Tamandua tetradactyla: one gene and its partners. The protein of the gene in region 1 interacts with the protein of each later gene in a biochemical or structural test. Links are inferred from orthologs where the notes say so. Each region holds a gene or a part of one and is shown on either strand. Other genes may lie near its edges.

What was found.
Region 2: the proteins of LYN (region 1) and FASLG form a complex in vitro, tested with the Homo sapiens proteins (2 studies listed by BioGRID, with this or other methods). The link is inferred for Tamandua tetradactyla from reciprocal best matches to the Homo sapiens genes LYN and FASLG.
Region 3: of the proteins of LYN (region 1) and DOK1, one has a biochemical effect on the other in vitro, tested with the Homo sapiens proteins (2 studies listed by BioGRID, with this or other methods). The link is inferred for Tamandua tetradactyla from reciprocal best matches to the Homo sapiens genes LYN and DOK1.
Region 4: the proteins of LYN (region 1) and KIT form a complex in vitro, tested with the Homo sapiens proteins (2 studies listed by BioGRID and IntAct, with this or other methods). The link is inferred for Tamandua tetradactyla from reciprocal best matches to the Homo sapiens genes LYN and KIT.

What each region holds. Positions count from the first base shown.
Region 1 is NC_135332.1:99,478,466-99,486,074, forward strand, and holds the start of LYN (tyrosine-protein kinase Lyn), read left to right. Parts: upstream 1-4,595; 5' UTR 4,596-4,844; intron 4,845-7,609. UniProt on the Homo sapiens protein: Non-receptor tyrosine-protein kinase that transmits signals from cell surface receptors and plays an important role in the regulation of innate and adaptive immune responses, hematopoiesis, responses to growth factors and cytokines, integrin signaling, but also responses to DNA damage and genotoxic agents.
Region 2 is NC_135330.1:26,485,836-26,493,771, forward strand, and holds the start of FASLG (tumor necrosis factor ligand superfamily member 6), read left to right. Parts: upstream 1-4,925; 5' UTR 4,926-5,137; coding exon 5,138-5,482; intron 5,483-6,053; coding exon 6,054-6,099; intron 6,100-7,936. UniProt on the Homo sapiens protein: Cytokine that binds to TNFRSF6/FAS, a receptor that transduces the apoptotic signal into cells. Involved in cytotoxic T-cell-mediated apoptosis, natural killer cell-mediated apoptosis and in T-cell development.
Region 3 is NC_135343.1:48,440,426-48,447,502, forward strand, and holds the start of DOK1 (docking protein 1), read left to right. Parts: upstream 1-4,065; 5' UTR 4,066-4,533; coding exon 4,534-4,593; intron 4,594-4,928; coding exon 4,929-5,228; intron 5,229-5,394; coding exon 5,395-5,488; intron 5,489-5,720; coding exon 5,721-5,905; intron 5,906-6,121; coding exon 6,122-6,937; 3' UTR 6,938-7,077. Other genes in the region: LOXL3 (lysyl oxidase homolog 3), read right to left, coding at 139-302, 1,917-2,229. UniProt on the Homo sapiens protein: DOK proteins are enzymatically inert adaptor or scaffolding proteins. They provide a docking platform for the assembly of multimolecular signaling complexes. DOK1 appears to be a negative regulator of the insulin signaling pathway.
Region 4 is NC_135345.1:54,927,185-54,934,443, forward strand, and holds the start of KIT (mast/stem cell growth factor receptor Kit), read left to right. Parts: upstream 1-4,243; 5' UTR 4,244-4,346; coding exon 4,347-4,413; intron 4,414-6,205; exon of another isoform or gene 6,206-6,778; intron 6,779-7,259. UniProt on the Homo sapiens protein: Tyrosine-protein kinase that acts as a cell-surface receptor for the cytokine KITLG/SCF and plays an essential role in the regulation of cell survival and proliferation, hematopoiesis, stem cell maintenance, gametogenesis, mast cell development, migration and function, and in melanogenesis.

The DNA of each region.
Region 1 (7,609 bases):
GACTTTGATGACAATCAGCCGGACAGAAAGGGATAGAGTCCAGCCCAAACCACTTCAGCAAGATGAACTTGAGCCAATCATTTGACTTTCTGAGACTGTTTTCTTATCTATAAAATGTAGAAAATGACCCATACTTATAAGTGGTTGTAAGGATGGATTAGGAGACTTTAATAAGGATGCCTCAGAAATTAACCTCTTCCCTTCAACTTTGGGAAGTTTCCCAAACTTTCCCCTGTCAAAGTACTGCTCCAGCCCTCTAGCAAAGGGACTACTCCACTGTCTGGAACACTTGCATACTTTCCCAAAAGCCAGTTGTTTTTATGGCAATTGTGCCTGTTATGGCAATTTCGTGATTGAGTTAAATAGAAACTTTTAAAATGAGTGAAAAAATTGTTTCTGTGCAAAGTTGAAGATTTGGAAACAGTCATGGGTAAAATGGAAGAGCAAATAATTCTGCTGAATTAGGTATGAGTGAAGCTTCAGACTCAGAGATTGAGCAGTGAGATAGCTTTGCAAAGCTATGAATGGCAAACAGAACTGCAGTATCCTGGCCGTGGTTCAGGTAAGAAAGATGATGCAGCGTGTCAATTAGGGATTTAATGCTCAAAGGAAACATAGTGGCCTTACCTGAGAGATTGGCAAGGAAAAGAAATTATCTTATAGCTAAATTCAAGTAAAATGTTTAAGGTACATCGTTTGCCGAAGCTGCCATGACAAATACCACAGACAGCTTGGCTTCAATACCAAGCATTTATTGTCTCACAGTTTTGAAGGCAGAAGTCCAAAATCAAGAAGGCAGCAAGGACATGCTTCTCTTGGAGGTGGTAGAGTTCTGGTGATGGCCATGTTGTTGGTCTCTTCCTATGACTTTCTCTGATTTCTGGCTGCTCTCGCATATTCAATTATGGATATATGGAGTAAGGCCAACCCTGATTCAGCCTTCTATCTTTAAAGAGGAAGATCCTGTTCACAAATGAGTCCACACCTTGACCACCTTAACATATTCAAAGATACTATTTAAAAATAGGTTGACACACAGAGGAAAATGGATTAAGACTTGAACATATCTTTTATGGAATACATGATTCAGTCCCTAGCACAGTTTTTTTTTTTTTTTTTAATATTTTTATGACGTCCTCACTTAAAACAACTTTTTTCATCTGTCCCAAGTATATCAGATGAGAGGGCTTCTATTGTATTTAATTAGGAACACTGATGATAAATTGAAACTCATTTGCTTGGTAAATATACCCCACATTCCCCCAGGCTGTTTGATTGATGCGCTTCCCCAGGGGTTCACAATCCTGGCTGTTCATCGGAACCACCGAGAGTAATTTAAAACTCTGATGCCAGGTCCCACCCCAGAGATTTGGACTTACTGGATCTCGGTCTGGCCTGGGCAAGGGGCTATCTTAGCTCCCCGGAGATTCTTCTGCAGAGCCAGTTGAGCATCCTACTCTATGTTACTGGCTACTTGGGCCATAGGTCTGGGGTTTGCCAGGCCCACATGGTTGTAAGAGTCAGGCAGAGAGTTCCATCAGCATTCCCTCCACTTCTCCCACAAAGCCAACCAGCAAACAACTTGCAGGAGTTCCTGAGTTGGGCCAAGAAATCAGAACCTTTTGAGGGAGGCTCACAGCAGGGTACCAAAAGGACAGGTCACCAGGGAAGGGCCACACTGTGGCCACAGGGGAAGGCTGCAGGACCAGGTGCCTGGGGACCAACACCAAATTGCGCACCAAAATCATTCATCCTGGCTGTAAATGCTGCCAACAGTCATCGGGTGGTGAGGCTCTGTGGTAATTAAATTCAGTTGTCAACTTGGCTAGGTGAAGGTACCTAGTTCTGTGGCTGTGGACATGAGCCAATGGCATGTGAACCTCATCGGTTGCTGATCACATCTGCAGTCAGCTAGGAGGCGTGCCTGCCCCAATGAATGATGTTCGATTTAACTGGCTGGTGCTTAAATGAGAGAGCACAACATAGCACAGCCCAAGAAGCTCAGCATACCTCATCTCTGCACTCACAGCTCAACCCAGGCCTTTGGAGTGCAGAGAGAAATCACCCCGGAGAAAGCTGTTGGAACCCAGAGACCTGGAGAGAAGGCCAGCAGAGACCGCCCTGTGCCTTCCCACACAAGAAAGAACTTCAGTTGAAAGTTAGCTGCCTTTCCTCTGAAGAACTAATGAAATAAATCCCCTTTTATTAAAAGCCAATCTGTCTCTGGTGTGTTGCATTCCAGCAGCTAGCAAACTAGAACAGGCTCCATGATAAAGGACAATGTACTTGAAGGCAGGTATTTTATTTCCCTCCTAGTGGATGATGGATATTCTTATATGAATGGATGATGGATATCCATGGATATAAGAATATCCATCATCCACTAGGAGGGAAATAAAATACCTACATATATATATGTATATGTATATATATGTATAATATATATATATATAAGAATATATAATATATAAAATGGCTAATGCCGTTTTCGCCACTTCCCCCTTCTTTCCTACTAAAGGATGTCCCCCACCTTCACCCTATCCAGGGAGCCTGGGTGGATATGCAATCTCCCTCTGTATGTTCATCCTCCATAATGTACTCAATTTAGAGAACACTGTTGAAACCCATCAGTTACTCAATTAACTGATCAATCCATACTAATAACAATTTTAAAGCAACTAACAGAACATTTGCCAGGTACAGGGGGAAACATAATATAAGAAACAATGTCTTCCTGAGAGGAGGTGACTATTTTCCAGTAGTGGGGGGGGTGATGGCTGACCCATGAAACAAAAGCAAGCAATGCCAAGAAACACCTGAATCAAGCTTAAAATCAATGTTGCACAGTATAAATGCAATAGGTGTCCTGGAAAGAAGGTCACCAATGAGGGCTTTAAATCTAACTTTCCAAGAAATGGAATGTACATGGGACTTCAAAGAAGAAATATGAAGATAGAAAATGGGTAGGGAGTGTTCAGGATGCACAAATATAGCCTGAGAGGTGGGGATGGACGCACCCCCTCCCCCCAGGTAAGAAGAAAGAGCTGAGCTCAGCTAGGATCCTCAAGTACAAGGAATTAGAAGTGTTGGAGCTGGGTGCAAGCCTGCATCTGTCTGAGGATGCTTTCGTCTTCACTCTAAGACACATTTTACCAGAGACGACAGGACATTCCAGGGAGATCAACCAAAGCCTAACATTTGTGTACTCTATTCTTGCTTGCCACATGCCTTTAGCCAAAGAATCTCAAGGACTCACTGATAAGATTCCCTTATGTAAACATTTTAATTTGGGGCCAATATTTTAAGAGGTCATTTTGGAGGAAGTCTAGAAATGAACCCCTGAGTAGTGAATTGCTAAGAATCCATCATAGATTTCATTCAATGTTCAACACCTTCCCAAGGGTGACTCCACCCCTTCTCTTTAGTGGGCAACAAACTGAACTGCCTACCAGTGAACATCAGACCTATCAGCAACTTCTTTTTATTCTTGTAAGAAAGTAGTTTGCAAACCTTAGTACTTTCTTATTAGTAACCAATGACTGCTGTGTAGACTGTGTTTCAGGGTGTTCTACTCTACCACATTCTCCCGTGGGGCCAGTCTCTTGAGAACACCGTGAAGGAGAGAAGGTAGTATGTCCAACATGCTTTGGACTTTGTATGGAGTCCATTAGGCGCTATGTAAGTGTTTGCTATTATAAATGCAAAGATCCATTTCTCCAATATATTTCCTTGAAAATTCTACAATGTAGTGCAATCGAGGGATCCTAAGGAATGAAATACCGCTTATAACATGGACTATGATGGAGACAAATCTCACATCTTGATTTGTAAATGGCATTTGCTGAGGTGAACTCTGAGTTTAGAAAGGCAGTCGTTCTTTCAGCAAACATTGGTTAGGCATCAGCTGTGTGCCAAGGACGGTGGTGCTATATGCTCCCATGCAGACAGTGGCAATGAAATTATCACAGAGCAAGCCCTTGGCGTAAGGCATTTCATCGTCCCGGTAACTGAGCGCTAGGCATTCTTGCCTCCGTTTTCCCTTGAGGAAACTGAGGCTTTGAGGAGCTGAGCAACTCGCCAGTTAATTTAACTTCAGAAACTCCTTCTTCTCCCGCAAAATGTGACGCCTCTGTGTACAGCCTCAAGGGGCTTACTCTGTGTGGAGTAAGATTCACTGAGTCCTGAGCACATCTCATCCTTTTCTAGAGAGCTGCAAATGTTGGGAAGGTTCAGAAAGCGCCCCATCTGTTCCCAGGAGCACCTCGGAGAGTAGGCTGGGGGGAAAGGAAGGAGGCGAGAGGTTCCCTGGATGTGCCCACAAAGCCAGAGTCCCGCTCTCCAAACGAGGTCCCTGAAAGCTGCTTCTGTCTAATTCCAGGGAGAAGTTCTAACCTCCTTAGCTGCGCCCTGGAACACCAGGTTTCTTTGCCTTTAAAGCACTGCGCGACAGCCGCACCAAAGACCCAAACTTTGGGCAGGGGCCAAACGGTCACTTCCCCGCCCTCCGGGAGCAGTATGCAAATCCGAGCACCAGGAAGTCCCTGGGACCTCTCGGCCAAGCCCAGCGACAGCCAGTTCCTCTGCCGCCGCGCCGGGCCTCGCAGCCGCTCACTCCCCGCCGTGGCGCCTCAGGGCCAGACGCGCCGTAGTTTTCAGCCCGCAGTACCGGGGTCCGGCGTCATCTCCGCCAGACCCGCGCGCCCCTCTCCCGCCTCCTCGCCCCGGCCCGCCGCCCTCCCCACGCGGGCCGGGCCGGGCCGCCCCGTCGCGTCCCCGCTCCGCGGCCGGGTCACCGTGGAGTTCCGCCGCTGCCGCTGCAGCCTCGCAACTTGCACCGCGAGCAGGTGAGTACACCGCAAGGGAATCGCGGGCGTGGGCAGCGAAGAGGGCCACGGGAGTGGGGCCCTGCCGGTGAGGGGCCCCGAGATGCCGTCAATCTGTGGGTGGTGTGGCCCGGCGGGGATCCAGTACGTGGGCGGGCTCTCGGCAGGTGTCTTGCAGCCGAGCAGCGTAGGGGCGTGGTGGGAGGTCCTGCGCGCAGGGTGGGCGCGCGCACCGGGCATGGGGGTGGAGGGGGCGCTTGCTGTCCCCTGTCCAGCCACTATCTGCGCGCCGCAAGCGTCTCCTCCTCTCCACGAGGGCCGGGCGCGCGCGTGGGACCCTGGCGGGGACTTCTCGGATGCCGTGATCGGGTTTCCCCGCTGGGTCCCGGGTCTCTAAAGGTAAGAGGAGAGCCTCGACCTGCCCGCCCCCTCCCAGGCCGCCTGGGCAGTTGCTTCCTTGGTGACTCCGGGGAGGAGCGGGACGTCCAGGGGCTTCTGCGGAGCTACTGCGCGCCCTCCCACTGAACCGATGCCTCTCCGCCTGCAGATGGGCAGCCCCATGCCTCGTTAGGGAGGAAGCGGATGGTTATTTTAAGAATTCAGGGGTTGCTTTCCTCGCCTTGGGGGAAGGGTGTAAGCATCGGTTCCTACTGTCGTTTGTTATCTTGGCGGACTGTCGGAGGCTTTGCATCTGGAGGGGCCCATGTCATAGCCGCGTGGTCCAGTGGAATTTCTTTGGATATCCGGAGTGCGAGTCTTAATTATCCCAAATCCTCCCAACTTCTTTGCCATCTCAGAAGCCTGGAATGCGGGCGTTGCAGTTTCCTAGCTGTGGGTGAACTGGAGTCATTATTGAAATTCCCTGTTGGTTTCCTCATCTGTCAGAGGAAACCATCTACCGCCTGAACTATGGAGCATAAAGCCCCTCGTACCCAGTATGCATTCCATAAGGTGGCATGGTTATTACTACTTATTGGAAATAAATATGTCTGTAAAAATGAGGCTCTTTGGATCTTTACAGTTTGGCGGTTTTAAACCAAGGTCTCTTCCGATGTACCCATCATCTTCCATGCTGAGACTTTGCTCTCCCAAAATATTTGCTTAAAACAATAAAGGATTTGCTGTCCCAATGCAGGAACCAGGAATCTGATGCTCTAAGAACTAGCCAGTAAAGAAGGCTGACTTAGCTTGTTGTTTGTTGTTTGCCCCCAGCAGAGGTCATGTACAGGAGGCAAGGAAGCTCTTCCTGTACTGTCAGCAGCTAAAGCAGGGCCAACTCCTAGCAGGCACTGGGAGAGTAAAGGAGCTTACTAAGGACTCAAGTCCATTCTAAGGTGTACTTTGCTGGGGAAGGGCGAGAATCAGTCAGTGCCTTGGTTTTCACTGGGCACTATGTGTTTTGAGGCTTGAAGAAAAGTAATTTTATGACTGGGGCCCTTAATGGCTGATCCTCTTTGGATGTAGGGTGGGGATCTCTCTTTCTGGTTAAAGGGTAGAGGGGAGCTGTTATAAATGAAAAGAAAACTGGAGCCAGGAAACTGAGATTTGGTCTCATCCAGCGTTGCTGGAACTGTGATTTGGGATAAATAGGTTGTGTCATTAATTAGCCAACATTTCCCTCATGGTGGGAACCAAAGCCACCTCATGGTTTGTTTTCATGTGGAAGCTCCATGGAAGGAGGAGTGACATTTGTTTTGTCCTGGTGCCCTGCACACATTGGGTACACAATAGGGATGGCTTGAAAGAAGGAATGAAGGGCCTGCCTCAAGCAAGGTCAAGGACACATGGGGACGGGTGAATAGGCTGCTCCTTAAGGCATCCTTAGTCTCTTGGCCCTTTCTGTCTTGTTTCTAAAATGGGAATTTGGGGGACCTGTTGACTCTAAGTTACCTCAAATTCTACTACAAGTGGGAATCTCTACTCAGGGCTCGTCTCTCTTGATCCACCAGAAGGAAGGTCTTGATTTGGGGGTGTGTCCTGCAAAGGTGGGGTTATCCAGTCAAAAAGACCCACTTGATCTTGTAGTCATTGATATTCCAAAGGTGTGTGGAGACTTTGTCGTGTGCCCCCACCTCCACCATCTCCAGTGGCTCCCTTTAAGCAGCAAAGTGGTTCAACAGTTTTATGACTTCCAAGTCGTATATATGTTTGTATTCTATATATGTATGTATTCCATGAAGTGCATTTTGTATTAAAAAATAAATCATCAAAACATTTGGGGTTCCATTTGGTTCAGGTTAATATACAGAACCAAATGAAAACATATTATTTGTTAACAAACTTACATGAATTTTAAATCTGTGCACAGAGAATACAACGTGTACATTCACACATCCTGGAACACTTAGGCTCATGGGTACTGATTATCTCAATTGCCTCCATATACTCAGTATTAGGATTAATATTAAAGGCTCACGGACAGTATCGGTCGTGACATTGGTTAGTGACCTGTCTGACAACAGCGCTGCATCTCAGACCTCTCCTTAGTGATGATGGGCTAACCCTTTCGCCTGCCAGGGGCTCTGAAGCTTCCTGGAGTTCGGTTTCACTTGAACATTTCCTGGCCCCTGCTGGACAGGGAGATTGTGGGTCAGGATCACAGGCCTGGTTCAGTGGCACGGAATCAAGTGATAGAAACGTCTTCTGGCCCCAACGTTAGAGCTTTTCCCACTTGCTTACCTTTAGACTCCGAAGTAAGGACTCAGTAACTTAAAAACAAAGAGGAACTAACTTATCTTTAATAAGTGTTTTAAAAAAATTATGCAGTAACATGTACAACAGTGTAA
Region 2 (7,936 bases), on another chromosome or scaffold:
TTGACAAAGTCTTTTGAGGCACAAAAGTATTCAGTTTTAAGGAGATCCCATTTATCTATTTCTTCCCTCATTGCTTGTACTTTGGGTATAAGGTCTAGGAAACCATCTCCTACCACAAAATATTGAAGCTATTTCCCTTCTCTTTCTTCTAAGAGTTTTATGGTCTTAGATCTAATGTTTACGTCTTTGATCCATTTTGAGTTAATTTTTGTATAAGATGTGAGATAGGAGGTCTCTTTCATTCTTTTGGATATGGATATCCAGTTCTCCAAGCACCATCAGTTGAGTGCCTTGGCTGCCTTGTCAAAAATCAACTAGCGGAAAAAAAAAATCAATTAGCTGTAGATGATAGATGAGAGGGTCTATTTCTGAATTCTCGGTTCAATTCCATTAGTTGGTGTATATATCCTTATGCCAGTACCGTGTTGTTGTTTTTTTTTGTGTGTGCGTGTGCTCTTATTTTTTTAAAACTTTTTTATTGTATAGTATAACATTTATACAAAGCAAAGAAATAAAAAAGCAATAGTTTTCAAAGCATCCTTGAACAAATAGTTACAGGATAGATCCCAGGGTTTGCCATGGGCTACCATTTGATCCTTTCATAGTTTTCTTTCTAGCTGCTTCAGAATATAGGAGGTTAGAAAGCTTAAATACTTTTTTATTACCACAATGGAATTTTTTTCTTTCTTTTTTGTGAAAAAATAGCATATATACAAAAAAGCAATAAATTTCAAAGCACAGAACCACGATTAGTTGTAGAACATATTTCAGAGTTTGACATGGGTTACAATTCCACCATGTTAGGTTTGTACTTCTAGCTGAGTCACAGTTTGTTTGTTTGTTTTTTTTTACATGGGCAAGGCACCAGGAAATGAACCCAGGTCTCTGGCATGGCAAGAGGGAACTCTGCCACTGATCTACCTTGGCCCACCCCACCACTTTTTAAATCATGGTGTAAAGTGGTTCTCTTCAAAGTACCTGGGATGAAGCACTGATTTTTAAATTTAAAAAATTTTTCAATCCATCATGAACTGATCATTTTGTAAAATACAATAAGAATGAATTAGGAAAATGAAATAAAGACATGTATAAAACTCAAGCCCAATATAAAAAATTAGATTCATCAGATATAAAATTTATTCTGCCCAATTGCTACAAAGTTTGTAAACACTTATTTTCCAATTCTATACTTATCTTACCACCAATGGTAGCAATCAGAGGGCACCCAGAACTGTTCGCATCGCACACTGAGTAGCTCTGGCTTAAAGCGCGTCTTTTGGAGTCAGACCTGGGTTCAAATCCTGCTTCTGCTACATTTGCCTAGTGTCAAACGACCTTCTCTCTCTGGGCCTCAGCTACCTCATGTTTAAACTAGGGAGAAAAACAGCTTATTGCAAATACAAGTAGGAAACAATGCCTGTAATGTCCTTGGCATGGGGCCTGGCACAGACTGGGCACTGGATGCTGCCGAACTCGTGGTGTTTTGGTGCAGCTCTGCCAAGCATAGTGCTGGGGGCCTGGGAACATGAAGCTGGTTGGATGCAGGCCCCACCCTCAGGAAGCTTTCCATCCAATGGGGGAGATAAGACATGAATATGAACGTAACCAAAGAGGCAAAACGTGAGCTGTAGCATAAGACAGGCTCCCGTGAAGGGCTCAGGATGTTTCAAGGAGGGAGAAATAAATTACATTCAGCTGGGAAGTAGAATTTAAGCTGAGTACCATGCTGTTTTGATCACTGTAGCTTTGTAATATACTTTAAAATCAAGAAGTAAAAGATCTCCAACTTTATTTTTCTTTTCAAGATGTTTTTAGCTATTTGGACATCTTGTTCTTCCAAATAAATTTGCTTATTAGTTTTTCTATTTCTGCGAAGTAAGCTGTTGGGGTTTTGATTGGTATTGCATTAACTCTGTAAATCATTTTGGGTAGAACTGACATCTTAACTATATTTGGTCTTAAAATCCATGAACACCATATGTCCTTCCATCTACGTAGATCTTCCTTGACTTCTTTTAGCAGCTTTTTTTTTTTAAGTAAAAGCCATGATTTTAAATTATTAAAATTAGAAGCAAACAAATATATTTTGGAGGTTACTGACAATTTGCTCATGACATTGCTGATCGTTAGCAGTGTTTTGTAGTTTTATCCCTTACATTCTTGGTTGAATTTCTTCCTAGATATTTGATTCCTTTGGTTGCTATTGTAAACAGGATTTTTTCCTTGGTTTCCTCCTCAGATTGCTCATTACTAGTGTATAGAAACACTAATGATTTTTGCGTGTTGATCTTCTATCTTATCTTGCTAGTTTGCTGAACTTGTTTATTAGCGCTAGTAGATTTGCTATAGACATTTTAGGACTTCTACTGAAGTCCTGTCATCTGCAAACAGTGAAAGTTTTACTTCTTCCTTTCCAATTTGGATGCCTTTTATTTCTTTTTGTTGCCTCGTTGCTCTACCTAGAACTTCCAGCACAGTATTGAATAACTATGGTGTCAGTGGGCATCTTCATATAGCATAATTCTTACTGGAGAATACTGGAAATTTGAGAGCAAGGAATATTGCATCCTAGTCTGAGACTGAGGGGTCCATCAGTCTAGAGGTAAAATTTTGAGATATTGGATATCAAGCATTGACTTGACACTTTTCCCTGCAGCTCCTCTCTCCATCCCCACCTTATTGAACCTTTTAGAAAGGTCAATTACATTAGGTCTGTAGATGAATAATTTGGGGGAAATTTGATAAATTTGCAAAGACAAGAACAAAAGCTAATGTTTGAGGAATGCTTACTTTGTTGCCAGGGATTATTGTAAGCATATAAAATGCTTTGACTCATTTCATTCTTGCAGCACCCTATGAGGTGGGTACTATTATGATCATGCTCACTTTTATAGGTGAGGGAACTCAGGCACAGAGGAGGGAAACTGACATGTCCAGTTCACACAGCTAATGCATGGTGGAGCTGGGGCTTGAACCCAGGCATGTTAATTTCTGAACCACATTCATAACTGTCATGCAGTGCTATCTTTCTATCTTCCCCATACAAGATGTGCCACATTTTTCCATTTGTATCTTTGCCATTTTCAGTGAAATTATTTTAGTTTTTCAAATACAGTTTTATATAACTCCTGCTATAGTTATTCCAGGATATTTTAAGGTTTTTTTTTTGTTTGTGCACATGATGAAATCTAAAAATTAAAATCTGTGATTGGTTATTATTTATGAATTTTAGACGTATTGTCTTTCAAGACTATGAGCAAAACCATGTGAGCTTAAAAGCACACTGACTCTGCCCGCCTCCAAAAGAGAGTGAGAGCATCATAAGTGAGTCCAGTCAGTCTCATCATGGCATTGTTTTATGACTGAGACTGGGATGCAGGCAGAAGTAAGAGGCAGTAAGAGTGGTTGAAGTCTGACTATGAGTCTTGTGTGTCAATTCCAGGGATTTGGATTACTCCTGCAATCGAACCTTTTAACAGGTTTTACAGGGAAATAAGATAATTGGAGTTTCGAAGCATCACTCTTGCAGCATTTTGCAGGACCACCTGGGCTTGTGAAAGGTTGTGGCGGTGGGGACCAGTTAGACTGCCACTTCAATATGTCAGATGAGAGATAATACAAGTCTGCGGGCAATATTTGAAGGAAAAATAGGGACACCTATGTGAGAAACTTGACTCAGGTCAAATCGAAAGTCATGGGAGAGCAGTTAAATGTTGGGGAGAGGAAATGAGAGGAGTTCATGTTGTCCACGTGGCCTCAGGAGAAACAAGTTGGACTGGAATGGGGGGGAGTGGAGGGCAGAAAGTGGCAAGGAAATTATATTTGGTGTTGGCTTGGTGCGGGTGGGACAACCAAGCAATAGTCACAGAAATCCCAAAGCATAATATAAAAACTAACAACATTTGTAAAGCAGAGCCTTCCAATGGATTGGGAGAATGACTGGGACTGCAGTTGTGCTCTTGGAAGTTATTGGTATACAAATACTATTTAAATCAGATGCAAGTGTGAGGTCCCTGATGGTTAGCTTTGCTCAGATAAAGTTGTCAGTTTTAGCTAAAACCAACTAACCGACCAATGAAACAAATGACAATAACAGTAGCAAATAGGACTCTGTTACATTTGAATTTCAAATAAACAATGAATAACTTTCTAGAATGTCCTATGCAATATCAGGAACATAATTATACTTAAAATGATACATTATTTATCCGAAATTTAATTGACCAGGTGTCCTGTATTTTATCTGGAAACCTAACAGAGTTTGCAAACAGAAATTCCTGCAGGGATCGGGAAGGCCATTTCCCTGGTGGGTGGTATGTGAGGCATGGTAGGGGCCGGTGAGTGTGGCAACCTGGAGTACCCATGCCCTATCTAAGGAATCCACAATGTGAAAAGTGGACAACCAATTAAAAGAAAAACATTAGGAGGTAACAACAAACAAATCTGTAGGTTCCAAAAACTGGTTTGCAACTTCTGACCTGTTCTCTAGAGAGTGGGTGGAGCAGGCTTTTAAACCTGCAAACCTTTGAGGTCAAAATTATGTTGCTTTGAAACAGCAGGGTAAATAGAACCTGGGTTAGGGGAAGGGGTGGCAGCTGGGGGAGGACTTCCTTATGCAGAAGGGAAGATGTGGAAGTGATTCCTCTGGCCACGACTCAGGGGTCTCACCCCTCAATACCCCTGAACATGCCCCATGACCCCTCTCCCTGAAGTCAGGCAGTGGGTAATGCCTGCAGGCTGACCCCCAATGTTTACCTTCTCTAGCAGCGCCTGAAAAGAGAAGCCTAAAGTGTCAGCATCTTAGGTTTCCCAGCGACAGCAACTGGGGCTTTGAAGGTTTTCATCAGAAAATTGTGGGCGGAAACTTTCAGGGGTTCGCTTTGAGCCTCTTGAGTCTTCTTAGGTTCAGAGGCAATGTGAGTGGGTGTCTCTCTGAGAAGCATATAGAGAGAACGAAAGAAGAGAACGAGAGCGAGAGGTGTTTCCCTTGGCTGTGGAAACTCTATAAAGAGGGCTCTGGCTTTGCTTCTCTCGAGCAGTCAGCAACAGGAATACCCACTGCTGACACCATAGCCTCCAGGGGATTGAGAAAAAGTGAAATCCTTTTCCTAGGGGCAGACCTGGGTCACTGGCAGCTATGCAGCAGCCCTTAAATTATCCATATCCCCAAATCTACTGGGTGGACAGCAGTGCCAGCTCCCCCTGGACCCCGCCAGGGTCAGTTCTCCCCTGTCCATCCTCTGTGCCCACAAGGCCTGGTCACAGGAGGCCACCGCCGCCGCCACCGCCACCGCCGCCGCCGCCGCTGCCGCCGCCTCCACAGCTGCCTCCACTACCGCCGCCACCTCCAAGGAAGAGGCACCACAACACAGGACTATGTCTCCTCGTGATGTTTTTCATGGTGTTTGCGGCCCTAGTAGGATTGGGTCTGGGGATGTTTCAGCTCTTCCACCTGCAGAAGGAGGTGGCGGAACTCCGAGAGGTAAGGCTGGGCTGTGGATTGCCTTGTGCTGGAGTCACTGGGCCTAAGGCGGCTCTGCTGAGGTGGGACGGGGAGAGCTAGTGCAGTCTACATGGAGCAAGTCTGTCTTGCAAAGTGCTTTTCAACCCCTTTTCCTATATTAGAAGTGGGTTGTTCTAGTCATTCCTTTCTGCAGGTAGAGAAATGCAGACACATTAGAGTGAAAGGAATTTTTTCTCTCTTGTGAAGTATCGTCACCAAAATAGGATTGGCATTATAGTCCTTCCTTTCTTTCTTAATTGGCAAATCAGCCAGCTGGATCACTTAGTGATTCAAGAAAGAAACAGAGCTTTGAGTGTTGCTTAAAAGTGGATTTGTGCAAATGGCCAAACCAAATCTTGAAAATTCTTAAAAAATATTCCAAATCACAGAACTGAGGTGCAGACAGCCACAAGTGCTTGGCCAAAGTCTGGTTTTAGGAGAGATTTTTGAGGCATTTGGATTCTTTTTCTTGGCTTTGGTTTATTTGACAATCCTGTCTCCTTTTAAAGGATTCTACATTTATTATGCTTTTCTCTTTTCCTCTTTCCAGTCTACCAACCAAAGGTATATAACATCATCTTTGGAGAAGCAAATAGGTGAGTCCTTTCATGTATGTACACTGAGTTGTCAGAGATAATCTTCAACATTGAGCCACGTCGGTGGAAAGCCTTGAATTTTGTTGACATTCTTGAGTATATGTATACTACGACAGGGGTTCTGGCTAAATCGAAACCTCTGGTCATTATGAAAGCTGCTTTAAAATGCCAAATGAATTTCATTGTTCAAAATTAGTGTTGCTAAACTCTACACACAGCTCAAAATAGTATCCACTTGACTTAAAATGGGCACTCATAACCTTGGCCCTTTGTTCCCTTAGCATTTGGCTCCAGGCTTGTTCTTGTTCTCAGGATTTCTGGTTCAGGTGCATAAGGTTGTGGCTGTAAATCTTAGGGAAAGAGATGGACATGGAGGCAGTGAGCAATGATTCTAGGAATTGTCCTGTCTGTAAAAGAGATCATTCAAGAGTCAAGCTTTGTTTTATTTTTTGTGTCCTATATTGTGGGGTCACATCTCATTATTTTTCCATGTGAGTCTCCAGTTATTGCAGCATTATTTGTTGAATTTTTATTTGTTTGCTTGTATTTTGGAAAGTGCATGGACTGGGAATCGAACCTGGGTCTCCCGCATGGCAGGCGAGAATTCTACCACTTAATTACCCTTACACCCCCCAAGCTTTGTTTTTAAAATACTTAATAGTATATAAGTAAGCTTTTAAAAAGTAGGCAATCAATTTCTCAATTAGGATGGTTCTTTTGCAGTCACTAAAATGTTTGGCCAAAGAATAGGCATTATTCAAAGTCATGCGCTGCCTTTGTTAATAAAGGAAAATCCTTTGTATAAGACCCTGGACAGGATAGAGGTGAAGATGCTGAACAGGGACCGGAGGTGTCAGGACATAATTTTGGAAGCTGAGGACAGATAGATTTTGGATATTACCCATTTGTCTTAAATTAAGATTCATTGAATTTTAAATTTGGTTAGAGTTGGAAAAGAGAATAGAGCTTATCCAAACCAGCCATCACATTTCTCAGAAGAGAAACAAAATCCCGGACAGATTAGGTGCAATGCTCAAAACCATTCTTCGGAACTGGGACTAGAAGGAAACTGGCTCCGGAAGCCTGATCACCTACAAGCTTTCTAGTCCATTGAACAGACGCCTTGTGAAATAGGGAAACTCCTGTCTCTCTGTGATAGCCAGGGAATGAGAAATAAAGATGAAAAGTAGAATCCCTCTGCAAAGACAATAGGCAAATCTCGTCCTTAGAAACTGGGAAGAAAAGAGAAGGCAGTACTAGCCATTCATTAAATGGAGTCTGTTCTGGTTTCTCAGGATTTTCCTACTGCAGGGGACCCCGATATCTTGCTGCCCTAGAATGTAAGCTCTTGTAGGAGCCAACATGAGGATCTTCTGGTCCCCAGTGCTGGGTCAGAGGCCCTAAGTGTTAGAAAGTACAGAGGTACCCAAGCAGAGTAGAAATATCTGTTAGAAAAAATGAAGACTTTGGAGGACTTCTAAATAGAAATAACTTTAAAAATCAATGGAATGTGGTTGGTGAAACAGTTACTTTACTACTAACTAATTTCTACCCCACTCTCTGGAGTCATTTCAGTGATTAAAAGTCAAATGAAAAAAATGAGTCAGGTCTACCTGCCATGGTAAACTAGATCTTCTCTAGATCAACCCAGAAGAACCTGAAGTTGGTGAATTATCACATGGAAATCAAGTTAGTAACTTTGTGAGTAAGATATAGAAGTGAAAATGAAAACAAGGGGATACCTGTTTTCACCCATCAAAATTGGTAAAGATTAAAAAAAAAACCTGAAAATACACAAATTAGCAGAAATGTGAGAGGAAAGGTCTTATTCACACAT
Region 3 (7,077 bases), on another chromosome or scaffold:
AGATCTGCCCTAACCACATATCACCACCCACAGCCTTCCCTGTCTGGCTATCCTAGATGTGTGCGCAAGCGTGTGTGTGTGTGTGTGTGTGTGTGTGTGTGCGTGTGCGTGTGTGTGTGTGTGTGATGAACTGCAGACCTCGATGACATTGGAGTCTGAGAAGCCAGGGAGGCGCTGGTCCTTGCAGATGACCCCGGCGTCCTCATCGTGGGTACAGTCACTGTTCCCCCAGCCCCGGGAGGCACATTCAGTCACACTCTGCTCTGTCCCTCTGCAATTTAGGTTGTCCAGCCAGATGCGGCCTGTAGTAGGGGAGATGAAGGGACTGAGAGAGGCTGAGGGAGATAGCAGGGGGGAGGGGTGGGGGTATTAGAAATACTGAGCCTGGGGGTTTCCCACCTGGCTGTGAAGATCCTATTTTTCTTTGAAGATGATGGGGTGGGGGGGGAGGGACAGGGAACCCTGCAACGAAATAGGCAAGGGGCACGCAGTTGCCAGAGAGTTGGTGGTGATCTGGGCCTACTCAAGAAATTAGTAGGGTGAATAAAAAACTGAGTCAACAGTGAAGTTCAGATCAGTCCTTACCAGGTCAATGATGACTACAATTAATCAAGTACCCAGTGAGTGTCAGACACTGCTAGGTTCTGTACATATATGATCACTCTAGGAACCGTGTTGCCAGGAAGACACCATCATCATTTTATATAAGGAAATGGAGGTTTAGACAAGTTAGGTAACTTGCTTAAGACCAACCACACAGCCAGTAGATGGGGGCAGGTGTTTGAGCCCAGTCTGTGAGGCTTGGAGATCTAAGATCCTTTTACTGGAGCCACACATCCTCCCACGTGCCTCCCTGCCTGTGCCACTATGCTGCCCCTTGTTCTTCTCAGGCTGGACCCCGCACTGAACAGCACTGATTTCCTCTCAGAATTGGACAGGACATCAAAGGTCGTCCGTCCCAGCCGGTGTGCAGAGACCCCTACGCACCCACTGATAGAGCTTGCTCAGCTTCTGCTGGATACCCTCCTCCCGCCCCACCTGGCTGCTACCCCCATCAGAGACTTCCTGGGACTGTTGATGACTCCCCCACTAGGTCTCAGTCCTTTGATGCCATCCAGAAAAATCGCTCAGTCACATCACTGCCCTGTTCAACTGAAGACAACCGTCTTGTAATTGTCATTGAAGGCTTTTTCTTTCCAGACCAAATGTCCCTGGTTTCTTCAGCTATTCCTCCTTAAAACTTGGCTGCCAAAAAAGTTATTTCCATTTTCTAGTGTCTCTCTTAAAATGTGGCACTCACAAGTAGACATTTTATTCCCGAAGTGGTCTAGCCAGTGGGTACTGGGGCATTGGCTGCTGGTTGCATTAGCTTCTGCCTATCAATCCCAGTGGGCCCAGACAGTCCAGGTATTCCCAGGTCTCACTCAAATTGCTCTTAACCCCCCTCCCCATACCTGTCTTAAGCCTCATGTTTGTCCTTATTCGGTTCCAATTTGTTGGTTTCAGCTCTGGCTTGTAACCTGATTTTGTAGCTGCAGTATGTATTTGTGATCCCTTCTGGCTTTGGGACATCCAGACATCATTTGCCGGCTTTCACCTTCCCACGGAACCAGCTGTACTGAAATACAGGGCTACCTGTATCTGGGCTTCCATGGCATGTGGCTTTGTAGACTCACACACTTTTGTGGCAGAAAGGAACTTAGAGATCATTTAGTCACTTTGCAACTGGGACATTTGAGGCTCAGAGAAAGCAACTGACAACCTAAAGTCACATGAACCTGGGAAGTGACTGTGTTGGCTTGTCATCCATAGGTTTTCTTGACATTGGGTGTTTTTGGTTCCCTGTGTCCCTCTCTGTGACTGTGCTATCTGATACTCCCTCTCCCTGCATTTAGGCCACTGGAAGCATTGCTCACCTGTTCCAGGGCCATATTTGGCACTGTGGGTCCAGCCTGTGGCCTCCGTGAAGCCCAGCTCCCGGCAGAGGATGTGGGCAGCCTGCAGTGTGAAGTCGTCATCACAGATGGTGCCCCACTCGCCGGCACGCTGTATTTCCACACGGCCCTCGTAGGGCTTCCTGGGGAAGCCAGCCAGCCGGAACCGTAGCCCCTCACTTCCGTCTCGTTTCTCGGGACCCATGGATGGGGAGGGAGACCCCAGACACGAGCAGCACAGCAGGCACAGCAGCAGACCCCATGAGCTCCACTGCCAGATGCTGACAGGTTGCATGGCAGAGAAGGCCTGCGTGCCCCAGAAAAAGAGAGAGAGAGAGAGGGAGGAAGAGAAACAGAGACTGAGCGAGGCCCAGAGTCAAAGATAGATGTCGTGAAAGAAAAACAGACCCTGAATAAGACCAAAGAGGGAGACAGAGAAACCGTGGTGAGAGAGGCTCAGGGACTGTGGGAGACAGTAAGAGGGACACACTCTAAATAAAAGCAGAGACACAGTCAAAGAGGAGTGACTAGGAGACTCAGATGGAGGGAGAGGGGAAGAGGGAGCAAACAGCTGCCCCCCCCACCCCGTGTAAATAATAAATCTTCACAATCAGTTGTAACGCTCCACTGTGCCTTTCCCTAGTTCTGCCATCATCACCTCCATTGCTCCCACCCCCCAGTTTGAGAGACCCAGAGGTCAAAAGAGTGATTGTTTTTTTAGAGACCAAGGGTCAGGGACAGGTCAAGATAAAGAGACGGAGTCTGAGCAAGAGACCCAGAGAGAGGAAGACCCAGACAGACAGGATGTGAGATGAAGGGAAACTGTGGGAATGCAAGGGAGACAAACAGAAAGAGGCAGCGGAAGAGAGAGACAGTGAAGACAGAAAGAATGTGACAGGGAGAGAGCTAGGCACACGGAGTTAGGGAGAAATAGGGAAAGGTACAGGCAGCTGTTAAGGGGGGAGCCAAAGAGCAGATGTGGGAGGAACCCAGATGACCCTATTCCGTCAGTCACACAGACTGACAGCCCTATTGATTGTGGAGAGAGGCAGGCCACTGGGGCCCAAGAGACCCTCTGGTCTCAGATCCCTTGAATGGCAGCGGAGCAGAGTCCCATCTGGGGAAGATGTGGTTGCAGGGAGGGCAGAGACCAGACCATCCAGGGAACTTCTGCACCTCTGCCCAGGCTCATGGGCTCTCAGATGTCCCATCAGGTCAGGGGGCCCAGGAGGGCCAGGCCTCACGCAGGGCAGAGATGGGGTGGGGTGGTCGGAGCCTCCAGCCAACACAACCTCCGGCCAACACCGCCTTCTCTGTCACCCGGCAACCAGAGGCCAGGGCGCGGATTTGCACGGCAGCCAAGGCCCTCTCTCCGTCTGGGGCCGTGAACAGACCCTCCACAGCCAGGGGGCCCCCAGAGCATGCTTCCCCCAACCCAGACAAACAACCCAACAAGACAGCTTTGTTCTGGGGACTTTGGCCAGGGGTAAGGCCTCACAGAGGAGCCCCCCAGCCTTAGAGCCCTCTCAGCTGCCTTATTTGGAACCCCTGCCCCCCACCATCTGCTTCTTCTCTCCACTTTTCTTGTATCTCCCCTTTGATAATAATAAAACCCTCCGTTGGTTGGCTTGTCCTTGACTCCAACCCACGCCACTCCTCTTCCCTGGTCCCTTCACCATCCTCTCCATCCTCAACTCCTCTTCCTTCAGCGGACAGCTTAACACCCCCTACCTTTGGCTGAGCGGGGCCTTAGGGGCTGGATGAAGAGTCCCGGTCCCGGGGTTCTGTCTTAAGACTTCCAAAAAAAAAAGTGCTCGGCCAGGGGAGGCCCCCCCCTCTCCGCTAGTCCCGCCCATGTCCCCTGGAGCCCGCCTACATTCCACCCTCTCCCGGGGTTCCTCCCTCGCTGGCCCCGCCTCGGCTTCCCTCGGCTCTCCCCTCCCCGCGGGACTGGCCGACGCCGCGCCCCAGCCCCAGCCTCCCGGTCGGCTCAAAGAAGCTTTCTTTACTCGCCGGTTGGACGCCGGGTAGCTGCGGTCAGGGATCTGGACACGCAAGCGGCCACGGGGCCACCGACAGCCCCCGGCAGCAGCCCGGTGGCGACGGGAGGCCCGGCTCGGCTCGGGGCTGTGGCTCGAAGCCTTCCAGCCCCGGCCCTGCCCCTCCGCCCCCAGCCCCGGCTCGGCCGAGCGTAAACAGCTCAGCTCGGGCCGGGTTAGGGTCGGGCCGGGGCAGGGAAACTGAGACCGGGAGGATGCCCGTGGCCCCTCCTGTGCCCCAGGGTGCCGGCGGCCACTTTCGGGGTGATGTCACGCCATCACTCTGATGTCATGAGGGGATCATAACGTCACACGCAGCTCCTACGCTCAGCCCGAGACCGCAAAATTTCTCATGGTAGAGCTACTTGTCCCCCACCCACCCAGGGCTATGGGTTGGGGCCCGGAAGTAGGGCGGCCGCCGGGTGTTTCTGGGGATCCCGTTTCCCGCTCGCTTCTCGCCCCCCTCCCCACGCGTGGTCCGCCCCGGGCGAGTCCGGCCCCGCCTCTTCCCCGCCTCCAGCCGGCGGGGCCAGGAAGCGCGGAAGGAACCGCCGGGGGCCATGGACGAGGCGGTGATGGAAGGGCCTCTGTTTTTGCAGAGTCAGCGTTTCGGGACCAAGGTAGTAGGGGCTGGGGACGCTAAACCCCAGCAGGGCTAGAGGTGGGCGAGAGGGCCCAGAAGGAGGGAGGGGTGGGCAGCGGGTTGGAGTGCGGCGCGGGGACCCGGAGAGTCCCGCGACGTTCCTCCGAAGTTGCTTTGCACACTCGGGAGAAGCGTCTGCGGGTCTCGGGCTACGCTTTCCCTCTTCCTGGGGAGCCGGAATGGCGATCTCCTAGGGAAACTTCTTGCCCAGTCGGGAAGCCCCAGAGCTGAGCCAGTGCCTCCTCTCCCGTTCGGCCAGCGGCCGCTCGAGATAAGCAGCGCACTCCTCAGAGTCTCGCGCTTTCTCCGCAGAGGTGGAAAAAGACCTGGGCCGTGCTCTACCCGGCCAGCCCCCACGGCGTAGCCCGGCTCGAGTTCTTTGACCACAAGGGGTCGGGCTCTGGAGGTGGCCGGGGGGGCTCGCGCCGCTTGGACTGCAAGGTAATCCGTCTGGCGGAGTGTGTGAGCGTGGCCCCCGTGGCTGTGGAGAGCCCCCCTGAGCCCGGCGCCGCCGCCTTCCGCCTGGACACCGCGCAGCGCTCCCACCTGCTGGCAGCTGACGCGCCGTCCAGCGCCGCCTGGGTGCAGACACTGTGCCGAAACGCCTTTCCGGTGAGGGGTTCCGGGGAGTGGGAAGGGGTCTGGGGCGAATGGCCCTGGGCCCAAGGGACGATGTGAGGCGGGGGGCAGGATGAGGGTCACGGCAGCAGAGGTCTCAGCTGGCTCAGACCCCGGGAGCCACGCTAGGGAGAGTCCTGGACACTCTTTCTTTACACAGAAAGGCAGCTGGGCTCCGACGCCTGCAGAAAATCTACCCAAGCTTTCTGCCTTGGAGATGCTGGAGAACTCTCTGTATAGCTCCTCCTGGGAAGGTAGAGGCTTGAGAAGCAAAAATGGGATCGCGAGAAGGGGTGACTTTGGAAAGGGGTTATTAGAGGGTTCCCGGACCCAGGGGGAAGGGGGAGAGCCCCGGAAGTCTGACTTGGAGTGAGTGCTTGGGCACTGTGCTCCCCAATACTTTCTGGTCTCTACACTCCCTGCACCAGCCCCCCAACCCCCAGTTCTGACCAGGTGCCCCTTGAATCTAATGGCTCTTCCTTTCAGGATCCCAGTTCTGGGTGACTGTGCAGAGGACTGAGGCTGCAGAGCGCTGTGGCCTGCACGGCTCCTATGTGCTGAGGGCTGAGGCTGAGAAGCTGACTCTCTTGACCCTGAGGTCTGGGAGCCAGAGCCTGGAGCCGCTCCTTTCCTGGCCTTACACTCTGCTCCGTCGCTATGGTCGAGACAAGGTGGGGGCGGGGAGGGGGCTATGGGGAAGGGCTTCTGGGGTTCCCCAGCTGAGGATGGGATGGGGCAGGACTGGAAGGAGGGAAACTCTGCCCCTTGGGCTCCTCCTACCTGGCCTACCCCTTGAGTCCACTCCCTCCCCAGGTAGTCTCTTTGATTCTCTAGCTACTTCAGGCCCTGAGACTCTGATGATGTGCTTCTCTCCATACCCTCTTCAGGTTATGTTCTCTTTTGAGGCCGGCCGCCGCTGCCCCTCTGGCCCTGGAACCTTCACCTTCCAGACGGCACAGGGAAATGACATTTTTCAGGCAGTTGAGACCGCCATCCATCAGCAGAAGGCCCAGGGAAGGGCTGGCCAGGGGCACGATGTTCTGAGTACTGATTCCCATGAAGGAGAGGGGACAGGGGGGCAGCTGGCTTCCCCTCCTGGTCCCAAGGAGCTCCTGGGAGGCCCCCCAGCCCTGTACGCTGAGCCCATGGACTCCCTGCGCATTCCTCCAGGCCCTTCCCGGGACTCCTTATACTCAGACCCCCTGGACAGCACCCTTGCTTGTGCTAGGGAGGGGGTACAGCTGAAGAAACCTACCCTCTACTGGGACTTGTACGAGCATGCGCAGCAGCAGTTGCTGAAGGCCAAGCTGAGGGACCCCAGAGAGGACCCCATCTATGATGAACCTGAGGGCCTGGCCCCAGCTCCTCCCCGGGGCCTTTATGACCTGCCGCAGGAGCCCAAGGATGCCTGGTGGTGCCAGGCTCGGGTGAAGGAGGAGGGCTATGAACTCCCTTACAACCCTGCCACTGACGACTATGCTGTGCCACCCCCTCGGAGCACCAAGCCCCTCCCAGCTCCCAAGTCCCAGCGCCCAGCCTTCCCTGAACTTGGTACTGAATTGGATAGTGGCACTACAGGCCACAGTTCAGACACTGCCCTGTATAGCAAGGTCCAGAAGAGTGGAGCCTCAGGGAGCTGGGACTGTGGGCTCTCTAGAGCAGGGAGCCACAGGACTGGGCTCAAGTCAGAGGGCTCCATATGAGAAGAAAGGCAATGCTGGGGAGTTGATAGGAAGACTATAGCAATCAAGAAACCAGTAGAAACTAGGGGCCTGATAGACCTGTGTTAGACCTGAAGGGTCAGGGTAGTGGGAAGGATCCCAAGAAGTCCTAAGAAGTGGGA
Region 4 (7,259 bases), on another chromosome or scaffold:
CTTTATACTGCCATCAAAATTATATTTTCAAGGATTTTTTAATGATCTGGGACAATGCTTAATGATATAAGTAGTAAGAAAAGTGGATATAGAATGAGGTGGGACTCAATGTCAAGGGATTGAGAAAACCTTCTCCACCAAAAGGGGGAAGGGTGAAATGAGACAAAATAAAGTGTCAATGGCTGAGAAATTCCAAACTGAGTTGAGAGGTTACCCTGGAGGTTATTCTTATGCATTATATAGATATTACCTTTTTAGTTAAGGTGTAATGGAAAGGCTGGAGGGAACTGCCTGAAAATGTGGAGCTCTGTTCCAGTAGTCATGTTTCTTAAAGATGATTGTATAATGATATAGCTTTCACAATGTGACTGTGTGATTGTCAAAACCTTGTGCCTGATGCTCCTTTTATCTACCTTATCGACAGACGAGTAAAACATAGGGATTAAAAATAAATAAATTATAAGGGGAACAAATGTTAAAATAAATTTAGTAGATTGAAATTCTAGTGATCAATGAAAGCGAGGGTTAAGGGTATGGTATATATGAATTTTTTTCTGTTGTCTTTTTATTTCTTTTTCTGAATTGATGCAAACGTTCTAAGAAATTATCATTATGATGAATATACAACTATGTGATGATATTGTGAGTTATTGATTATATATCAAGAACGCAATGATCATGTGGTAAGAATGTTTGTATTCATATGTTATGTTTAATAAATTAATAAATTAAAAAAAGAAAACTTGTAAACATTGACAAAAACTGGATAGAAAATCAGAAAATATAGTAAGGTCTTAAATTATGCAGGGGGAGAAAACCACCTCACACGTAAACAGAAAAAAAGATTAGAAAGAAACATATCCAAATGAACTCTTCAATGATTATATCTTGGGTGATATTGCTTTGCTTTGCTATTTTATCTTTTATTGATATATTATATATTCACATGCCATGTAATCACCCAAAGTGTACAATCAATGGTTCACAATATCATCATATAGCTGTGCATTTATCATCACAATCGACTTTCTTTGATTTGTTATTTTTAATTTTTTTGGCATTTTCCAAATTTTCTACAGTAAACATTTTTACTTTTATGATCAGAAATAAAACTTTTTTCAAGTTAGAAATTTTTTTCTGTGTGAGACTGCAATAAACATCCTTTGTTCTGTTTGTTCAGCATTATTCCTCCTTTTCCCTTTTTCTTGGGGACATAATTATCCCCCTCCCCCCATTCTTAGGCCCCATGGTGTGGATGAAGTAGACCTCCAACCTCTGGCTCCAGAAGTGGGTGCATAACTCAGACCAGGCCAGTCATCATATTCCATCCTTCTGGCTTCCATCACTGGTCCCAGATGGGCACATAACTTGAGTCAGGTCCATGAGACTCAGTTTCAGCACTTTTTATAGGAGCTGTTTATGAGGCCAAAGAAGTTCTGCTTCCACTGGTAGTAATATGGGATAAGCCAAATGCCCAGCCTGAACGCATGCGAGGACAGTGAAACAAGACAGAGGAAAGTATTGCCAAAAGTTGAGGATGGAGAAACATACCCACACACCTTTTCAAGTCCTCATGACTATGAGTCCCTGGATCTAGGAAAGTCTGGAATCAGCACTTTCATCCCTGGGTTTTCCACTTATAAGAACCAATTGATTTAAGGGTTCTTTGTTTACCCCCAGTTTGCACTGGGCATCAAGCAAAGAGTCCTCACTAATATGATTATAAAAAGAACAATATATACAAAGAATAACTCATGAAGGGGTCCAAAGCTATCATAAAATACAGTATGGACACTAACCAATGAGTGTACATCCTTCCTGAGATATAAAGCATTTCAATCATGGCAAATGTTCTATTGGAGAGTGCTGATCTATAATATAATTAACATAATATAGTCATAGTCATATGTATATTATATATAATATAGTCATAGCACTTTATATATGTTTCCTCTTGGTATATAGCAGGCTGGGGATATTATCAAAAATAGTGAACAACCTTAAAGGTACAGGTACTGGAAGCGCTGCTGTGTCTGGCAGTAGACCTTTAATTGCTGGATCTAAGGAGATTTGGGGTGTCTTATGGGAAGGTTGGGGGTAGGTGGTACTTAGGAGGTGCTTAATTCAGTGGCTTTTTCCCAGTCAGTACAGAAAGATTTCAATATTCTACGAAACAATATGGCCAGATAGGTGTGTACTGGCTGAACATGTTAGCAGATATTACAGTTTCTTGTTTGGGAGGCTATTTTCCCAGCTGGATTGTGAATTCCCCCAGGGCAGGGACTTTGTCTCCTCCATTTTTGTCGGTCTTGTGCCTACCTAGATGCTCAATAAATGGATGAACATGAGTGACAGTTCACCATTGTATAATTCCTATATTCTGATTTTTTTCCTGATAGAATCTTTCCTGCCTAGAATTAAATTTATTTCATCCACTCTTCTGAAGATTTGTTATCCTCTCCAGGATCAGTTAACTGAAGAAGAAAATTGTAAATTTTTCTCTCTCAGGCATAATGTTGATATTTTAACTCATAGAAACTTTTTTTTTCTCACTACAAAATAGATTTTAGAAATAAATCAAGATTTGAGAAACTTTTGATTGCTTCTAATGGTATCTTTTATCTCTGCTATCTTAAGAAAAAAATGTGGTCTATGGGCCAGAGCAAAACAGAGACCTTTTGAGTTTCCATTCTCTCACAGCTGTCAGATTTGAACCATTTTCTAGGAGATTAGGGTGTAGGTTCCCATCAGAACGGTGAGGGCAGGGATGGAATCTATTAACTATTGCCCTCCCTGTGCCTAGCTCCTCCCTGCTTCACAGAAGACACACACTGAATGCTTGTTTAATGGATAAATACATTTAGAGAGGCAGTACATGTTGGTCATTTGATCATCCTCTAGTCGTGATAATTTTAAAGTGGTTAGTGTTAAAAGTCATTATTCTTAAACCAACTTAGATCCTTTCAGTATCAAATAGAGCTTTTGATAGTAATTGAATATCTGGGTAATTATAAATTTTGGATGATACTTTAGAGAGTCTAGGTAAATCTAAATTATTCTATCCCCTTTTCTGATGGGCCCCTCCCATTTATTTTTCACTCTTAAGCTCTCTGGAGGGGCGTTTTACTCGTTTATTAGAAGGCATGAGGAAAGCTCACCACACCTAGAGACAGTCTTATACTATGGGCTCAAATGGCAGGTCTCCTTTAATGTGTGAGATTGGGCCACTTGAGAATTAAAATAAGTATATCAGCATGAAGTACTATTGGCGAGGAAGAACGATATAACCCTAATCAGATACTGTCGCTACATTTCATTCAAGGACTGCCACCATAAACAGCTAGGAAAGCACGTTCTATGCAATGGTACCTGGTTTAAAGATTATCATTTTACTATTATTTCGCTCCTGGTACCGGGTAGAGCAGCTAAGTTAGAGGAACGCAGGGATCCTCAGCCTTCTAACTGTTGTGCTAGCAAGACAGAGAAACCGTACACGGGCAAAAAAAAAAAAAAAAAAAAAAAAAAGGCGGCCAGAGGGCTTCGCGCAGCGATTGGCGAAAAGGTGTTAAAAACCCAGGCCCCAAAACAAACTTCGGAAATGGCTCCACTTGGCTCAAAAGCCCCAGTCTCCAAGAAAGTATTGGCTGGGGTTTGTTGGACGGAGGCCACGTCGACCAATAGAAACCAACTGTTCTTACAGGTTACCTAGCAGGTGGAGAAACTAAGCATAAAGAATTACCTAAACCCTCTATCAAGCCTTTTACCGCGGTGCCAAGGCGCAACGCTAGAAGAATGCCGCTGCCCAATTTTCTAATCTCTTCTCGCGTCCCATTAACACTTCCAGGGTTAACGGCGATCAGTCCCCTCCCACGTGAGCATGCACAAGGGGCTGCGGTCAATCTTTATTGTCTGGGGAACACCTGCCAGGTGGCAAGCTGGTGCTCCAATGTGCGCACGGTGCCCGGCTTCTCAGAGCGCGCAGGCAACACCACCACCCTCGATTCGGCACTACCTTTAGCGGCCAGACCACATCACGCGGGAGGAGAGAAGGAGATGCAGAGGCCCTCGGGTCAAGACCCGGGGGCGTAGACCAGCGTACCCTCCCCTCCCCCCACCAGGGATAGCTAGTCGAAAAAGCAAGGGCCAGAGACGCTGAGAAGCGCCGAGAGCGAGGGGGGAGGGAGGGAGAGGAGGCGAGGAGGGGCGTGGCCGGCGCGCAGAGGGAGGGCGCTGGGAGGAGGGGCTGCCCCTCAGAGCTCTCGGCTCTGGGGGCTCAGCTTTGCCGCGCGGCTTACACTTGGGCGAGAGGAGGAACGTGGTACGGAGCTCCGATCCAAGCCTCCGCGATGAGAGGCGCTCGCTGCGCTTGGGATTTTTTCTGCGTGCTGTTCCTCCTGCTCTGCGTCCAGACAGGTGGGGAAGGGCGGTGGGGACTCTGGCCGCGTCCCCCACCGCAGCCAGTGTTCCCCGAGGGATTGAGGCTGCTGGGGTGTGTCTGGAGAGGTGGGCGCGGGCCCTTCTGGTCCCAGGTGTTAGAGACTCCGGGAAGATTCGAGGCGTTCCCAGGGCTCTCCTGCGCCTTGCTTCGCTCACCTGTGCGAGGAGCCTCCAGTCGCTGGTCGTGGTGGGGCGCTGAGCTGAGGGGTCTTCTGGGAATGAGGGCAGCGAGGGGACTTGGGCAAGAGCGAGGCTGAAGGCGGACGGCAGTCGAGCTGCACGCGAGTTTGGGATTTCTTTTGTGCGGAGGGTGCGCGGGTGGCAGAGGAGAGGACGGTTTGGAGGCTAGCACCCAGCGCGTTATCTCCACCGTGCGAGGCGCGGCCGCAGCTTCCTTTTGTTAAAAGTTGCGTGTGTGTGACCGGTTCATCAGAGGACCGACCTGCATGTTCTTAGCCGCGTGGAGGGCAAAGTTTGAGAGCCTTCTCTTTTCTCTGCGACTGCTCCTTTCCAACGTGTGGCGCTCTTTGTGCCCAGAGGTGGGGACGGGCCCGCTGCCGCCTCTGCTCGCGGCGCGGCCCTTAGTGACGCTTCCCGGCCCCCCACCCCCCACCCCCCGGGTTATGGTTTTCCAAAGGAAGCGTGCGGCGTGCGCTCTGGGGTCGGACCCCGACAACCTGGAGGTGGCGGCGACAGGGACAACTTGGGCAGAGCGTGTGGAAAGCAGCCGCTAGGTTGCAGACTTTTGGGTTTTGTAAATGCTGTGCGGGAGGCTCGCCCAGTTCTGTCGCGGTGCGATTTCATTCCTGCCACACGCTCCGAGAGCGACTTGGGGGCTGTGTTTGCCTCCTGCTCCGGGAGAGACGGCGACAGCGCTGTCCCAGGCCGCCGCGTGTGCCCAGGCCAGAGTTCCCGACCAGGCTAGCGAGACTCTGGAAGCCCTCGCCTCGGTGTCTGCGACCTGTGAATGCAAATCCCAGTTCACCTCGGGAATTTTGACATTCGTAACATCCCCTGTCACGTAATATTTATACTTAATGGGTGCGTGACGTGGGATGGTTGGAGATGGAATGGAACTTACCGTAGATCTTACTTGATTTTTGAAGCTGTGAGGAAATCCGGTTACATCCGCGTGGGAACTTGGTCTGAAGGTGAAGTGTAGGACTCGCAGGTTCCTGGGTCCCCTCAGGCTGATTCCCCCCTCCCCCTTCCCTTCTGGATGTCACTGGTGTGCGCGAGCGTCACCCAAATCCCTGAAGCCCTCCTCTATCTCCGGTCATTTTTTTAAACCTTTACCCTGATGATGTACGGATAAGAAAGTGAGTCTGAACTGGAATGTAAGGGCTCGAAAGGAAGCGTCGCAGTGACTTATTGTTACCCTGTGCAGACCACTGGTCAGTTTACCCATAAAGTCTCCAGACACTGCCTTTTCCCTCTTGGTCTTGTAAGGCATTGTGAGAGCTTTCCTGTGGGGGAAGAGAGGCCTTGCATTTGGACCTCTGAGAGGTGGGAGGGAATATCCAGATGCCGTGGCCGATTTGATCGCCTAGTTTAAAATGACACTTGGTTATTTTATTTTTGTGCCTTGACCTTTTAAATTTCAGTTAAGATGTATGATCAGAGTAGGACAAGAGAAAGAACTCACTGCCATTTTTTTTTTTTTTTAATTAAGTGAATCAATTGTTTCCTGCTTCCTCAGATTTTTCCTGCTGGATCCAATAGACTTTTTTGTAAAGAGAATTTTAAAGCTTTCTCTTGTGGTGGGGAATGGAGGAGGGGTCAGTGTGATGTAGCCAAAAAGCCTTGAACTGCTTGTCTGATTGGGTTTCCTCAGCCATTCTTTGCCTGCTATGTCCTTGGGCAGGTCCTTTAAATTCAAGGGATCCCAGTTTCCTCAAGAGTGCAATGAGGCATCTGCATTAAAAAGGATCCTTTTGGTTCAAAATTCTTCTCCTTTACTCTTGAGTGTAGATTTAGCACTTTTCACAACTCTTTCCCTGATGCCTTCCCGCAGCTTTGAAATTCCCTTGCTTTTTCTGGTCTCTGGGGCCACTTGGTGTGTCCCTACCCATCTGCCCCTGGTTAAAGCGGGGAGATGTGGTTTATGCTGCCTTTTCTTCAGTCCCCACCTGCTCCCCTACACATTTCTCTTTGAGGGTTAGGAGAGGTGCCAGCTACTAGGTTCTCTTCCTGTATTTACAGCTTCCAGTATTTACAGCTCCCGTGCCACGCAGGATGAACTTGGAAGGAATGGTGAATCATACCTTCCTCTTGTTCCTGCAGGTGTGAGGTCACATTCCTCCCCAGCAGCTAGACACACAGGGTATTGCAGATTATTATCCTGATGAAAATCATAACATCATGTTATAAATGGATCCCACATAATTCATTTAATCCCATTCTGGACTTTCCCACCTTAACTTCACTTTTTTCTATGACTTTATAACCATCGTATACTTAAATGCTTTTATAACAGTTTTTAATAATCTCTTATTACAGGGCCAAGTGCCAGGCCTTGTGCTAGGGGCTTTACCGGTCATTTCAGATCCTCATCAACAAGCCCCAGAAGTAATTTTTTTACTGTCCCAACCATTTTCCAGCTGGAGAAACTGGCTGAGGATAAACTATCCAAGATAATCAGTAAGGATAGCTTGAGATCGGTCCCCTATTTCCAACTGTATGACCATTTTCACATTACTCACCAAAATGTGTTTAAAGTGAGATTCACATTGATTCATTAAAAAATATATAGTCCAGGCATTGGAGGTTCTGGGAATACAGGAGTGAACAAGATGGCTAGTTTTTTTTTGGGGGGGGGGGGT